Notamacropus eugenii: one gene and its partner. The protein of the gene in region 1 interacts with the protein of each later gene in a biochemical or structural test. Links are inferred from orthologs where the notes say so. Each region holds a gene or a part of one and is shown on either strand. Other genes may lie near its edges.

Region 1 (7,399 bases):
GATGTTTATTAGCTGTGTGACCCTGGAAAAATCACAATCTGTCTGACTCAATTTCCTAATCTGTAAAATGGGAGTAATAGCACTTACCTCTCAAGATTATGAGAATCAAATGAAATATTTGTAAAGCCTTTTCAAACCTATAAAGCATTATAGAAATGCTAGTTATTAATAGTAGTAATAGAAAAATTCCATGGAAGAAATTAGGACAGTGGGGGACCCTAGTTTGGATTCGGCCAAAGTGCAGTACTTGAGGATTTATGTGACCTTGAGGCCGAAGGTTCCCCACCCCTGAGTTGGTACTTTTCTGCCACTGCTTTGCTGTGCTTTTTAACTTTTTATGTATCTGTCTTGCTTCTCCCTCTAAATTATCAAGTAGTTTTCAATTGAATAAACACTTTTGTATGTATTCACTCCTGCTCCCAGAACATTGCTATACACAGAACAGGCACAATAATTAAGTAAATGCCTAGCTGGCTTCATCTGGAGGTATTTTATTACTCATTAACACTTCTAAAGAGGAGTCAGTTCACAGAATCATAGATCTAGAGCTAGAAGTGAACCACATCATCTAATTCAATCCCTTCAGAGAATTGAGGAGCAGAGGAGTTAAATGACTTGGGCAAGGTCACAAGGGATAGTGACAGAGACTGGATTTGAATTCAAGCCCCCAGGACTTCTTGAGAAAAATGAGATTTTTTTATTTCTGAACCAAGCAAAAAGATTTCTTTCAGCCTAAGTCTAACTACTTCCTTACTCGCAAACTTCCAGCAACACATTGTAGTCTCTGGGGTGAAATAAAATTTCTCAACCTAGTATTTAGGGCATTCCACAATCTAATTTCAACTTCAATCAACAAACATGTATGCTAATGAGCTAGGGATGCAAAGACAAAGTTGAAACAGTCTCTGCCCCAAGAAGCTTATATTCTACTTAGGAGATAACTAGAACATACACTGGTATAAACCAGACATGTACAAAACAGACACAAAGTAACCCTGGAAGAAAAGGTACCAGCAGCTGGGGAGGACCAGGAAAGGCCTCCTGAAGAAGACGGTGCTCCAGTTGAGTCTTGAAAGGAACCAGGGACTCCCAAAAGACAGAAGTGAGGAGGGAGAGCATGCCAGCCATGGGAAACAGCCAGTACAAAAGTATGGAAATAGGAAGTCATAGAAAGTAAAAAAGGGCCAGGATCTAGTGACATTTAAATGCTAAACAGAGCAGTTTCTATTTGATCAGAAAGGTAATTTAGTGTTTATCAAGTAGGGGCATAGTCAGATTTATGCTTTAGAAAAATAATTTTAGTTGCTTTGTGGAGAATGGTTGGAGTGGGGGGAAATTTAGGACAGAGAATAATTGGTTCAAGCTATTGCATTTTTTCAGGCAAAAGGTCAAATAGGGTAGTTGCTGTGTGAATGAAAAGAAGGGAGACATAGTAAAGAAATGCGGCAACAGAAACAATAAAATTTGGCAACTTTTCAGCCTTGTTCTTTATTACTTCCCCTTCACTCTGGTCCAGTTGGACTACCTGATGTTACCTATCTAAACACTGCACATAATACCACAAACATGCACTCCCTATTGACTTCTCTTCTTTCAAGGTTTACTCCAAGTGTCTCCTCTTTGAAGTCTTCCCTAAACCTTAATGTAATGAATGAATATTCTCTTCCTCCTCAACCTCCCACCTGCTTACATATTCTGCGTGAAGAATATGTAACCACTGAGGCAGTTAGGTGAAGTGGTGGAGTACTGGATTTGGAGTCAGATAGAACTGATTTCAATAATCAATGAACTCCCTCCTGACTTATTTCTTTGAATCCTCATCTTCTTTCAAGGCTTATACCATGTGTCTCCAGAAAGAACTGAATTCAAATCCTGTCTCAAACACTTACTAGCTGGGTGAACTTTAGGTAAGTTATTTTTCTAAGCCTGTCTCCTCACTGCAAACTGGAAATAAGCACACCTTATACTTCACACAGATGTGTTGAGGATCAAATGATATGACATACAAAGTACTTTACAAACTTTAAGCTAGGTGGCTCAATGGATAGAGCTAAAATGTGAAATCTGAGTTCAGATTTAGCCTCATGCACTTACTAGTCGTGTAACCCTGGGCAAGTAGTTAAACTACAACAATAGCACCTACCTCCTAGGGCTCCAGTGGGGATCAAATGAGATGCTACTTGAAAACCACCTAGCACAGTGCTTGACCCGTAGGATGCTCTCAATAAATGCTTGTTTCCCTTCCTTTCTACATGATATATCTTCAGTAGAAAGTAAACTCCTTGAAGACAGGAACACAGTAGGTGCTTAATAAATGGTTACTGCAATAAAGTTGGAGGACTACTTAGTTTAAAATACATATGCATTTCATTTAGCTGGGGCAAAACGATGAAATTGCTTGTTTCTAGGTTTGGCCCATGCTAATTTCTGTATTTCTTCTGGTTGCGTGATGCCACTCAAACTGAGAAGTTTTAAAATTTACAGTCAGTAGTGTGTATGTGAGTAACACACACACACACATATATATATATATATATATGTGTGTGTGTGTGTGTAATAGTATCCCGAAAGTTCAAAGTATTTTGGGACACTTAGTTTAGTATATATTATGAATTTAGCACAAAAACTGTATTTGTATACATATATGTACGTGTACATATATATATAAAATATACATACATATGTGTATATACATATACAATGACACACACATACACATGAATCGATATATCACCTATCTATGTAATAAAAGTTACCTATGTAATATTTAGTTCCTTGCCAACACAAACATGAATTTCTTATCCCATCTGCTTCCTCACAACTGGAAGTCTAAAGCCTTAATTCAAACAGAGAACTCTGTGGGGCAAGGCAGAGTATGTGATTGCTGGGTGTGTCACCATCATGCCCAGGACACTAGCTTACTCTCCATTGCTCTTTCCCTATATTCCCTGAAGGTCTTACATGGAATTTTTCCTTTGAGCACTCAAAGGGTACTACGGGCAGCCTCTTGGATTTATATCCACTCCAGCCTTTTATCTCTCCCTACCTCCTCTTGGGGGTTGTGGTTTCTCTCCCTTCTTTCCCTTCATTGTGACCCCCTTATTGGTCATTTCACTCAATCATAGTTATACTTAGCGTGTGCTTGTTTAATCTCCTGGTTTGGTTTGTGTCTTCTCACCCACAGTAACTTTTAGGATACCCACCCTGACCTTGATGACCCCGAGTGTCTTGCCTCTCTCCTCCCTGGACTCAGTTGGCACTGCATTCTGCATCCCACGTTGATCACCTGCCCCCCCAACCTATTCTGGCCCCTGAAGTGGACTCTTTGCCCCTGTTCAGCAGGAAGCAGCTACTGAAGACAACGACCTTCACCCCTTTTCCCCTGAAAGAATTCTCCTACCTAGTGGTAGAGTGGGGAAATGAGGTAGATAGAACAGTGCCCTAAGAGTTAAAATAATATTGACTTTGTGAAACCCTGGGTGCCCTAAAGTGTCCCCTTACCACAACTTCCCCTTATCCTGGACCATATAATTCCTTATCCCCACCCCTCATCCGGGGGAATGGGATTTCCTTATCGTGTCATTCATAGTCCTCACCTGGTGCTTTTATCTTGCAAGACCTCCCCTAGACCTACAGCCCCTACAAGGAAACCCTAAAATCATCCTATTTAAGTCTGGTCCTCTTCCTATACCATTGCCTTTATTTAGCTCCTTGCTAAGTCTTAGGCCCGCTGCTTCTGCATCAAATAAAGCTCCCAATGACTACAGAGAAGGTCTAAGCTAATTCATTCACATTTTGAGCCAGCTGTCCCGTGTCTCTTCAACTACTCCAAGCTCCCTACCCCTCGCCAGAGCCTCGTCTGTCACAGGCTAGCACTGTGAAGGTGACGGGGGAAGAAGCCTTCACACCCCCACGGTTCGGGCCTCAGTTTCCTCCTCTGTAAACAAGGGCTGTAGGACCACAGGATTTCTACGGCCCTTCCCCTGCGGGCTCCAAAGCCTAAGATCCTGAAAGGTTAAGGACCCACCTGGCCTGCCTGGACCCAGCTCAGTCAAACGACCGAGAAGAGCCCCTGGCGCTAGACCCCGTCCAAAAGGTCCTCCCGTAAACCCAAAGAGGATGCAGGCTCCAGGAACGCGACCAGCAGGGGCCCGGAAGAGCCGAGTGGACGGGGCGGGGCCGCCCCGCGAGGGTCACGTGGGAGATTACGCCAAGGGAAGGGCTCTTCGCGGACCCGCTCCCTCCTTCCCCCCTCCCACTTGCTTCTCACAAGACTCGGATCTCCAGCGTTTGATTGGTCAGCGTCGGGAGCACGTGGGCGGGGCGCGGCGGAGCGGGTTGGGCTAGGGCGTGGGGGTGGGGATGGGGACAGAACTGGGGCGGGGGGCGGGGGGAGGTGCCGGAGGGGGGTGGTTCGACTCGGGGCCGTTGGCTCCAGACAAATAAACATGGAGTCCATCTTCCACGAGAAAGTAAGTGTCCGAGGATCGCTAGGGCGTTCTTCCTGCCTTGGGCGGTGCGGGAGGTGAAGGGAGTCCTGGGTTCTCCAGAAAGCCAAGGCGGCCTCTCTTGCTGCCTCCACCCTCCCGTCGGGGCCTACCTAGCGTGGGGAGGGGGCACCCAGCGTGGGCAGCTGCTTCCTTCCGAGGGCACCCACTCATTCGCCTGCCCAAGGACCCTCCTCACCGACCTTCGGCCGCCGGGCTCCGAGGAGTCCGGGAAGGACCGGCGGGGCGTGGGTCAGAAGCTTCGGGGAGGGGCGGAAGAAGGGACTTGGAAGGGGATGGGGTCGTGTTCGTGGATGCCTTGGGCCCTGGATGTGGTAGCGTGCATTGGATCAGCTCTTCCCTAGCTAGCTATTGTTTGCTGTGATGATCTTTATTACAATTCCGCTTTTCCTCCCCGCTCCAAGCTCCAGTGTCCGCTGCTGGCAGGATGGGAGATCCCCAGACCTCCACCTCCCCACCTTGTAGGGTGGGTAAGTAGGCTGAGAAGCCTCGTCCAGAAAGCCCTCCCTCTCCTGCACTGAACTAATTCTTTAATTAGTTCAATACTTCAAGTCCTACCCATCTTTGAACTGGCAGAGCGATGTAGCAGAAAGACTCCTGGACTTCGGGGTCTGGAAGGCATTAGCTGTGTGGTCCTTTCAAAGCTGGTCACACCCCACTCCAACCCTAGTTTCATTGGGGATTTGTCTTCCCTTCCTTGAAGGCTTGCTTTTGAGGAAAGCATTTTTGAAAACTTGGTAGGTGCCATAAGATCCAATTCAAATACCACCTTCCCCCGACCTTTCCCTGAGCCCTCAGATGGCACTTTGTATTTTACTTCTTTGAGGTATTTATCGTGTAATGTTTTGTATCATCCCTATTTCTATTGATATTTCTTATCTCCTTGCTGTATTGCAAGCCTTCTAAGAGAAAAAAACACTAATTTCATTTTAAAAACTATTATCCCTGACAGTGTCCAGTGCAGAGTAGTTTTTTAGTCAATATTTGTATTATTGTATGTCATTAAAAGCCCCCAAGCCAGAAATCTTTTCTCCCCCCCCCTCCACTGAAATAATTAGCCCAGAAGAGGTTTTGGTGTGCGTGGTCTGGACCACACACATATTCATCTTTATAAGAAGTTAAGCTCAGCTTCAGTTTCTCATTAGATGAGTGCTACTCCTTAGCTGACATGAGATTGAACTGGGGCATCTCCAACCCTTAATTAGTTGCCCAAGACTTTTGTACATATGTTTGTTCCTGATTGTTTCTTCCTTTTGATTCTTAAATGACCACTTGAAAATAAGGGCAATTAAATGGTTGTGGTATGTGGAGAGACTTGTCTTCTCTCTTTATAATTATCAGGCCCATTGGGTGTGGGTGAAACTTTCCATAAACAGCTTTGGGCAAGTGTTGTTTTCTTATTTTATAGTAAATATCATTGTGTAGAAGGGAAAACTGGCAGGATTAGTTTGGAAAAGTGGAGTCTTTTATGTTATCCATTATATATTACTATGACATTATTTTGATGGCTCAGGTAGAGGGTCTTTTTTGTACTTTAAATGGTCAGTACTTTATTTAAACAATTTATTCACAGCTACCAAATAAAAATCCATCATAGTGGCATTATAATGGATTTGTTATAATAAGTCTGAAGTAGCTGATTTTTTAAAAAATAGAAAATTTTAGTTGGAAGATTTTTCAGAAAATTTTAAAGAAGATAATAGATTTTTCATTTTGATGATGTCAGTGGTATAGATAACCCTTGATTAGCATTATTGATTATTTGTTTTACTTGAAAAGGAAGTATAGTTGTCTGGCAGAGAGACATATAATGAGGCTTTATTTATGTATATTTCAATACTTCAAAAGATATATAATTCTATAATTATACATTCTCCTTCCATGATGTAGTTTGTGACCCTTCTACACATTGGTAGACTATTTGCTGAGTTTCTAAGATTCCAAAATTCACCAACATTCAGGTGCTGAGCCTCCCCAAACAGCTAAGCATTTCCTTGTTCAATAGACAGTCTGTTTCTTCTACTCAGAGTCTTTCTGGTTTTGTTGGTACCACAGGAAGAACTGAATTTGGTGCCAGAGCACCTGCGTTTGAATCTTGTTTCTGCCATTTAGTACTTACATGACTTTGAGAAAGTCATATAACCTCTTTGGGTCTCAGTTTCCTTATGTGTAAAATTAACAGATTGGAAAAGTTTACTTTCAAAATCCTTTCAAAATAAATTTATCATCCTCTGATCAGCCACTGCTTTCATTCAACTGATATAGTCTTCATGAATGGGGGGTTACCTCCATATCATGAGATAGTCATTGGTAATAGAACTTTATTGGCAGTTGCTTCTGTATAATACATCAGAAGTGTCAAATTCATGCTGGAAGGCTGCAGAATCAGATTTAAATGTAATTGAGAAAATTTAACAAAATGAATAAAAAGACAATACAACATAGATAATATTAATTTGTCACTATGCAGCTCCCAGAAATTGTTTCTGTTTGATTTCAATGCTATTGTAATACATGTCTTATATGTCTTTCTGAGTGCTTCATTTTAGAATACTTTAAATAATCTTTTACATGCTACTTCATGAAATTGCCAAATTACATTTTGGAAGGATGGAACCTGTAATTTCAGTGGTATAGGAAACTTCCTCTGCCAATGAAGATGGTCACCTCGTTTGCAATTTATGGTCTTCGAACATTGCTTGAGGAACTGAGAGATTAAGTGACTTCTCCAGGGTCACTGGTATTGTCAGAATGAGAACTTGAGTCCAAGTATGAGGTGACAAGGGCTTGTACCAATGTGTTGGCTGTGTCAGAGGAGAAAAGGGAGCATTTGTGAGAGACATGAGGGTAAGGATTTGAAGATGACACCTAGATTTTGAGCTTGGCTGTCT
Region 2 (7,155 bases), on another chromosome or scaffold:
AGGGTGACGGGAGGAGGGGTTTAGGAAGGGTCTTGAGAAGTCCAAGGAGGGAATCCGAGGAAGGTCTAAGGCTGGAAACAGCTGGAGGCTATCAGGAGATATCAGACAATGGAGGGTTTGGGTGGGAAGCGGGTGGGGCAATCCAGAGATCTTGATAGGGGCAGCATGGGAATGAATACGGATCTTGATGAGTTTCCAGAGACTGCCTGAACAAATGGGAAGATTAGATTTGAGTACGAAAGGCCTGATTAAGTGGGAAGATTCAAGGGGAGATCAAGGAGGCTCCCAGAGTCTGAACCCCATCACTTCCTTCATGTCATCTTCACCATTCTCCCCTCAAATACTTGGGAATGTCACCGACTCTATCATGAAACCTGTTACCAGGATGTAACTGAATGCCACCCACATGAGAAAGAGTTAAGCGGAAAACCAGATATGCTAGGACAGATTCTATCACTTCATTCACTCATTCATGCAACAAATATTTAGATAAAATATGATTAAAATATTGTCCCTGACTTTGTGGAGCTTATGATCTAAAAGGAGAAAGAATATACACAAATATGTGTTCATTATGTACTAACTAGTCTACAAAATAAAATATGATCAGGGCATAAGAGAAATACAAAATACAATAAAAGTTCTGAGACAAGAAAGATCATTTTGGGGGCAGCTAGGTGGCGGAGTGGATAGAGCATCGACGCTGAAGTCAGGAGGACCTGACTGAGTTCGTATCTGACCTCAGACACTTGCCACTTCCTAGCTCTGCGACCCTGGGCAAGTCACTTAACCTCAATTGCCTTGCAAAAAGAAAAAGATCATTTTTGACTGCAGGGACACAGAGCTGGAAGGAACCTTGTAAGATGATCTCAATTTGGGAGTCATTGACATAGAAGTCATGGCTGAAGCCAGTCTCATCATAGGATAGGCTCTTTTGAAGGCAGTTGAAGTGAAATCTCCAACCTTGATTTGTTTATAATTGGCTGGTATTACTTGATTGTTTTTTTTTCCCACACCCACTTAACAATAGATAGTTTCCTTTAGCTACAGACAAGAGTAGTAATTTATGGGCCCAAGAAATAAGGCTAATGTCTTAAATAAGGCTAATGTCTAAAATAAGGAGGATGTTCATAGGAGGAGGGGTGGAGAGGAGGGAGGAAAGAGGATAACTTGGGTTCAATATTCCAAGCCTGTTTAATAGTCAAAAGTCATGGTCAAATCTGACCTAGCAAAACAAACTGATGGGGAATCTTTCCCATAAAGTAGTTCTCTCTGGTTTTGTAAAGAGTATTTGTTCAGGACAAGGATTAACAGAGGTAGTAGAAAGCAGAAGTCTATTCATTCACAGATTTCCAGCTGGAAAGGACCTTAGAGGTCATCTAGTCCAACTTCATTACAGATGAAGAAATTTGAGTTTCAGAAGAGTGAGCTGATTTGCTTAAGGTCAGCTGAAAAGACTGGGTGTTTATAGTGCAGTAGGTCTCAATTAGTGGTTCACAAACCTAACTCCAAGATGTTCATGCTAAAAAATTCTTTAGCATTGCCTTAAGCAATAAATAATTGCTCAATTGTTTTCAAATAAAATTTTCCTCAATGACAAGCATGTGCATGTCTGAAGAATTTTGTTTGTTTCTACAGCAATTTGGGCACATCATGAGCTTTCCTGGGCAAAAGTTATCATTGTATTTACTGTAAACATTTAATTAATGTCTAAAATAATATTATGAGTGGTACATTAAATTACCCTAGGGGTTCACCATACATTTACTTTTGTTCTTGAAAGAAGTTCAGAGACTAACAAAAAAGAAAGCTGGGAATCATTGGTGAAGCAGAGAGAATACTGGTGTTGGAGTTAGGAAGAGCTGGGTCCAAATCTATCACTTCATCTCTTCAAGCCTCAGTTTCCTTACCTGTAAAAGGAGGACGTTGGACTACTTCAGTGGTGTCTAACTCAAACTTAAAGGAAGGTCACTAGCCATACATAAATATACTTGTGGTCTGCACCTTAATGCAGTTTTAAAATGTAAGGGTATTTATGTTTTATTGTATTTTAATTTCTTTTGCTAAATACTTCCCAATTGAATTTTAATATGATTCAGGCAGTATGTTTGACACATCTGGACTAGAGGACCTCAAAGGTCCTTCCCAGATCTAAATCTGTGATCTTGTGATATAGATAGTAAGGGTAAGAATCAGGATTTAAACCCAGGATTTCTGACTCAAAAGCCCGCACTCATTCCATAGCACCAAATATGTGGGACCATCACAAACAGTAGAACACTAGAGACAGAGAACACAAGAGCTAATAGAGGGCTAGACTTGGAATCAGGAAAACCTGGATTGAAATCCCACCTCAGACATTTATGGACTATGTGACCCTACGCAGATCACTAAACTCTGTGCCTGTTTCTTTATCTGTAAAATGGGAATAAAAATAGCATCTTCCTTACAAGGTCATTGGGAGACTCAGAAATAAGCTTATCGATGTAGAGGTGGGAGGGATCTTAGAGGCTCATTTTACAGATGAGGAAACTGAGGCTGAGAAAGATTAAATGACTTGCCCTGAGTCACACAAGTCAGTTTCTGATGTGGGATTTGAACACAAGTCAGTTTGCTGCCAAGGCCAGACCTGTATGAATCCACAATACTGACGCCTACCAGCAAACGTTTATGGGGTAGTGCATTCACATTCACTAGAGAGAGTTCAGCACTTGAAGGCAGGAGATGCAAGATTTAGCCCCAGCTCTCTCAGGAAATGGCAGTGTGACCTTGGACATGTCACATCATCTCTGGGATTTTGCTTTCCTTTTTTGTAAAATGTTATCAATCTTATCCTGGTTCCTTAAAAAAAGTATTTTATTTCTCAAATGAAAGCTGACAGAGCTGTTCAGTAGTACTGTCCGGCAAGAGGAAAACCTAGGTCTTCTTCCCTCCAAATCCATCACTCTTATCCATCAAGGAGATCTTATATTCAAAGCACTTTGCAAACCTTAAAGTAGGAGTTTAAATCTCATTTTGTGTCACGACCCCAGAGATGTGCTGTTAAATTTTTAAGAATAGACTGGGGGGGGGGGGAGTAAACATAATTTTAATCTGCATTAATATTTTCTCCATCACTTTCTTAAGCTTAGAAACCAGTCAATCAAGCCATGATTAGTAGACTTTCCCATTTCTGAAGTCTAAATGCTTATACTGAAAATTTAACAGGAGCCAGTTGGAGCTAGTTCCAGCATCATCCTTTGGACTCTTTTCTCAGAACAAAGTTGTTCAATGCACAAAATAAAATACATAGAATTACAAAGAAAACCAATTATGTTGATATATGCATACATTTATCATATATATTTATATATCATATTCATTTTAAAATTTATGCATGTATTTATGTATGTGTATACACACACATTCAAGTTCATGGATCACAATTGAAGAACCCCTGCCTGAGATACATATTATCTTAACAATAATAATAATAGTAGCACGCATTTACATAGTAACATTTTAAGGTGTGCAAAACGCTTTACAAATATTATCCCAATTTACCCTCACAATATCCCCGTGAGGTAAAGGTTAGTATTATTGAGAACTGAGGATGAACAAGAACTGAGACCGAAAGCAATTAAGTACTTTGCCCCAGATCACAAAGCCAACGGAATGTGAACTTGGTCTTCTTTTCTCCTGATCCAGAGCTCTAACTACTGCGTCATCTTCTCCATACTCCGTGGAGATAAGTGGGCCCCCTAAGTGCCTAGCCTCCTTGGGAGAGGTGGAAGGGAAGGCAGCAACTTCCCAGGGGATGGGGAGCAGGATCTGGGGGAGAAGAGGTGCCCTGTGCGGGCGCGTGTGCCCAGACTGCCCGCAGAGGGCAGCACATCCAGTGGAGCTGTCCTTCCACGGGGCTTGGCTCCTCCCCTGAAGTCTTTGGGCCCGGAGTCCCGCTGCAAAGCGGCGCAGAGTTAGGAGACAAAGCCACACCCAGCCTTCTGCGGCGGGTGAGCTGGTGGTGCCCTTCCCTCTCCGGTGAATCACCCCCATCCGCAAACAGGATAGCAGCACCAGCTCCAACCCCCTGGCGTGCCCCTGCTCCTCGCGCCTGCAGCCTCCCTCTGCTCCTGGGCAGCCCCAGCGCCTTCTGAGCCGCATTTCCTAGGCCGTGGCAGCAACCCAGGACCGGAGCCATGTCGGGCATCGCAGCCAAAGTGGTGAGAGACCGAGAGGCGGCGGCCGGCCTGGGCACTCACGACCTCGCGGTCAAATACCTCAACCAGGACTACGAGACACTTCTCAACGAATGCCTGGAGGAGGGTAAACTCTTTCAGGATCCTTCCTTCCCGGCGATTATATCTTCCCTGGGGTTCAAGGAACTGGGACCGCACTCGAGCAAAACTCAAGGCGTCGTCTGGAAGAGACCCACGGTAGGCAGTGTACTGGCAAGCTGTTCTGGGGTGGGATGGGGAAGCGATCCGAGCAGGGAGAGGGGACTGGAGTCCCTCCCTCCCTCAGCAAAGCCTGAATTAAAGAGTCAATGCCAGGAGGTCAGTCTGTATGCCAGTTTGTATCTCAAGTTGGTATTGCCCCCCCTATACCTAATCCAGGACTCTGTATACAGTAGGTAGTTATTAAATAGTTGTTGGATTGAACTGAAACGAAGTGAATCATCCATCCATATTAGAGTTAGTACTAGCCCTCGCTGTTAGCTGACACTTAACTAAAGCGCTGTTAGCTGTTCTGGGTAATGAGAAAGGTAGAAAGGGTGGTGCGGTATAGGCTACACACCCAGGAAAATAGAAGTAGAATCCAAGCGGAAGGAGACGGGAATGGTTCAGGAAAGAATCAGCTGCGCCCTTATAGAAAGCAGCCAACCAGAGTTCAGCTTTTCCGAACATCTGGCCTGCTTACTCTATTAAAGGAACTGAGGTTACTCAGTGCAAAGGACTTGTAGGAGGGTCCCTTAGGGGAGCCCGGATTCCAGGAGGCCTGGAACACATGTAGTCTTTCCTCCTCACACACAATACAGAGCAAGATTTTCCAGGGCAAGCCCGGCTGTCATCACAACTCGGCATCCACAGAGTCAACATTAATCAGGAGAAAGCTGGTAAAGACCGGGGATAGCTAGCTCCTCAGAGATCTGGGATACCCTGTTGTGAGTCAAAGTCTGAAGATAAAGGAAAAATGGACCATAGGGAAAAGCAGCTAAGAAGCAAATATTTGAGGAGCCATGTAACCTGGTGCATTGTAGAAAGAACTTGGCATGAGGACAGAGGAGAAACTGGATCTACTCCCATCTCCACCCCTAACTAGTCAGGTACATCAGTGTCTCTAGGCCTCAGTTTCCTCATCTGCAAAATTCATTCATTTCTATACAGAAAGTATTTTGTTTCTCCACTGAAAGACAGCTGAGCTATCTGGTAGTACTTTAACTGGAGGTAAAATCTGGGAAGGAAGAGATACTCCAGAGGACTCCTTTTCATGGTCACTCCCGCTTCCTCAGACACTCAGGCCTGAGGTTTCTCCTTATTACATACAGCCTCTTTTGTCAAGCCTCCCGTTTCACACACCCATCAACTTTCACAAGATCCAAGGCAGGCAGACAGATGAGCTGGTCCTTGGACATTTTCTGCCTTCTCAGTGGAAATGTCTGTGCATATTAGACAGGTGCACCTTGGGGGGGCCCAATCTCCTGTCCTTCCACATTTGAATTGTTCCTCCACAGTCTGTTTACCAGACCTGAGTGAGGAATTTGAGGATCTCTCTTTAAGGTCATTGGAATGATTGAAAAGGCGATTGTCATCTTACATTCTCTCATCTGTGCCTTTCCCTTGACCCACTTTCTCATTTTTGCTACAACATTTATGAATGAAACAGAGGTTAGCTGTTTATTCTGGCTACAGTGAATTCTCCCTGGCCTAATTTGGCCTGATCAGGAATTTCTTAGCTACATTTGTGGACTTCAGAAAGAAAGCCAAAGGCGTGAAAAAAGTTTTTGAAAATACGTGGAATAATCCTTAACAATAAGAGCCAAATCTACAACCAGTATGGGGCAATTGGGCTGTACCCCTAATGCTGACATGGGGAAGTAGAGAGTTAGAGGAGTTATGGAGAGAGGGTGATTTCTCCATCTACTCTAGAAAGGTTTCCAGTTCTAGCTATCCAACCAGTTCGCTTCCTCCCTTGGCCTCAAGGAGTCCACCTGTCCCCATGGGGTTCATTATGCCCTTTGTGCCCTTCTGGGGGGCACCTCCTCATCCAAACTCTGGATCTCCAATTAGCTACCTAACCTGTGGCCTGGAGATCAGTAGGGGATCAGCCACAAAGTAGTTGCTACTGACTGTACCAATGGCTATAGACTGTGCCTCATAGTAAACTCAACCCTAATGCTTCCTCAGTCACTGTTTTCCTCTGCCCTTACTTTGTGCTGTAACCTCTGAAGTCCTTCCTCTGTTGTGGTCTAGTGGTGAAGTCATTAGATTTAGAATCAGAGATCTGAATTCAAATTCTGCTTCTACTACTTACTATCTGTGTGACGTTGTGTGAATCACATAACTAGGCTTCAGTTTTCTCATCTGTGTAAAAAAAAACTAGGTGGTACCATGAATAAATAGAGTTCTGAGTCTGAAGTCAGGAAGACTTATCCTCCTGACTGCAGATCTGTTCTCAGACATTTATTAGCAAGTCACTTAATTCTGCTGGCCCCAGTTTCCTCATCTGTAAAAATGAGCTGGAGAAGGAAATGGCAAACCACTCCAGTATCTTTGCCAAGAAAACCCCAAATGGGGTCACAGAGAGTCAGACACAAGTGAAACCACTGAACAAAATGGAAAGGAAAGGAAAGGAAAGGAAAGGAAAGGAAAGGAAAGGAAAGGAAAGGAAAGGAAAGGAAAGGAAAGGAAAGGAAAGGAAAGGAAAGGAAAGGAAAGGAAAGGAAAGAAGGAAAAAAGGAAGGAAGAAAGGAGGGAAGGAGGGAGGAAGGAAGGAAGGAAGGAAGGAAGGAAGGAAGGAAGGAAGGAAGGAAGGAAGGAAGGAAGGAAGGAAGAGAGGGAGGGAGGAAGGAAGGAAGGAAGGAAGGAAGGAAGGAAGGAAGGAAGGAAGAAAAAGAAACGGTTATACTACATGACCTTCAAGGCCTCTTCCAGAGCTAACTCTAGAATCCTCGAT

Evidence for each region. The genes of interacting proteins can lie anywhere in the genome.
Region 2: of the proteins of ATXN3 (region 1) and CAPN2, one has a biochemical effect on the other in vitro, tested with the Homo sapiens proteins (2 studies listed by BioGRID). The link is inferred for Notamacropus eugenii from reciprocal best matches to the Homo sapiens genes ATXN3 and CAPN2.

The regions. Positions count from the first base shown.
Region 1 is NC_092878.1:38,407,229-38,414,627, forward strand, and holds the start of ATXN3 (ataxin-3), read left to right. Parts: upstream 1-4,380; 5' UTR 4,381-4,448; coding exon 4,449-4,472; intron 4,473-7,399. UniProt on the Homo sapiens protein: Deubiquitinating enzyme involved in protein homeostasis maintenance, transcription, cytoskeleton regulation, myogenesis and degradation of misfolded chaperone substrates.
Region 2 is NC_092873.1:412,734,791-412,741,945, reverse strand, and holds the start of CAPN2 (calpain-2 catalytic subunit), read left to right. Parts: upstream 1-4,137; 5' UTR 4,138-4,178; coding exon 4,179-4,415; intron 4,416-7,155. UniProt on the Homo sapiens protein: Calcium-regulated non-lysosomal thiol-protease which catalyzes limited proteolysis of substrates involved in cytoskeletal remodeling and signal transduction. Proteolytically cleaves MYOC at 'Arg-226'.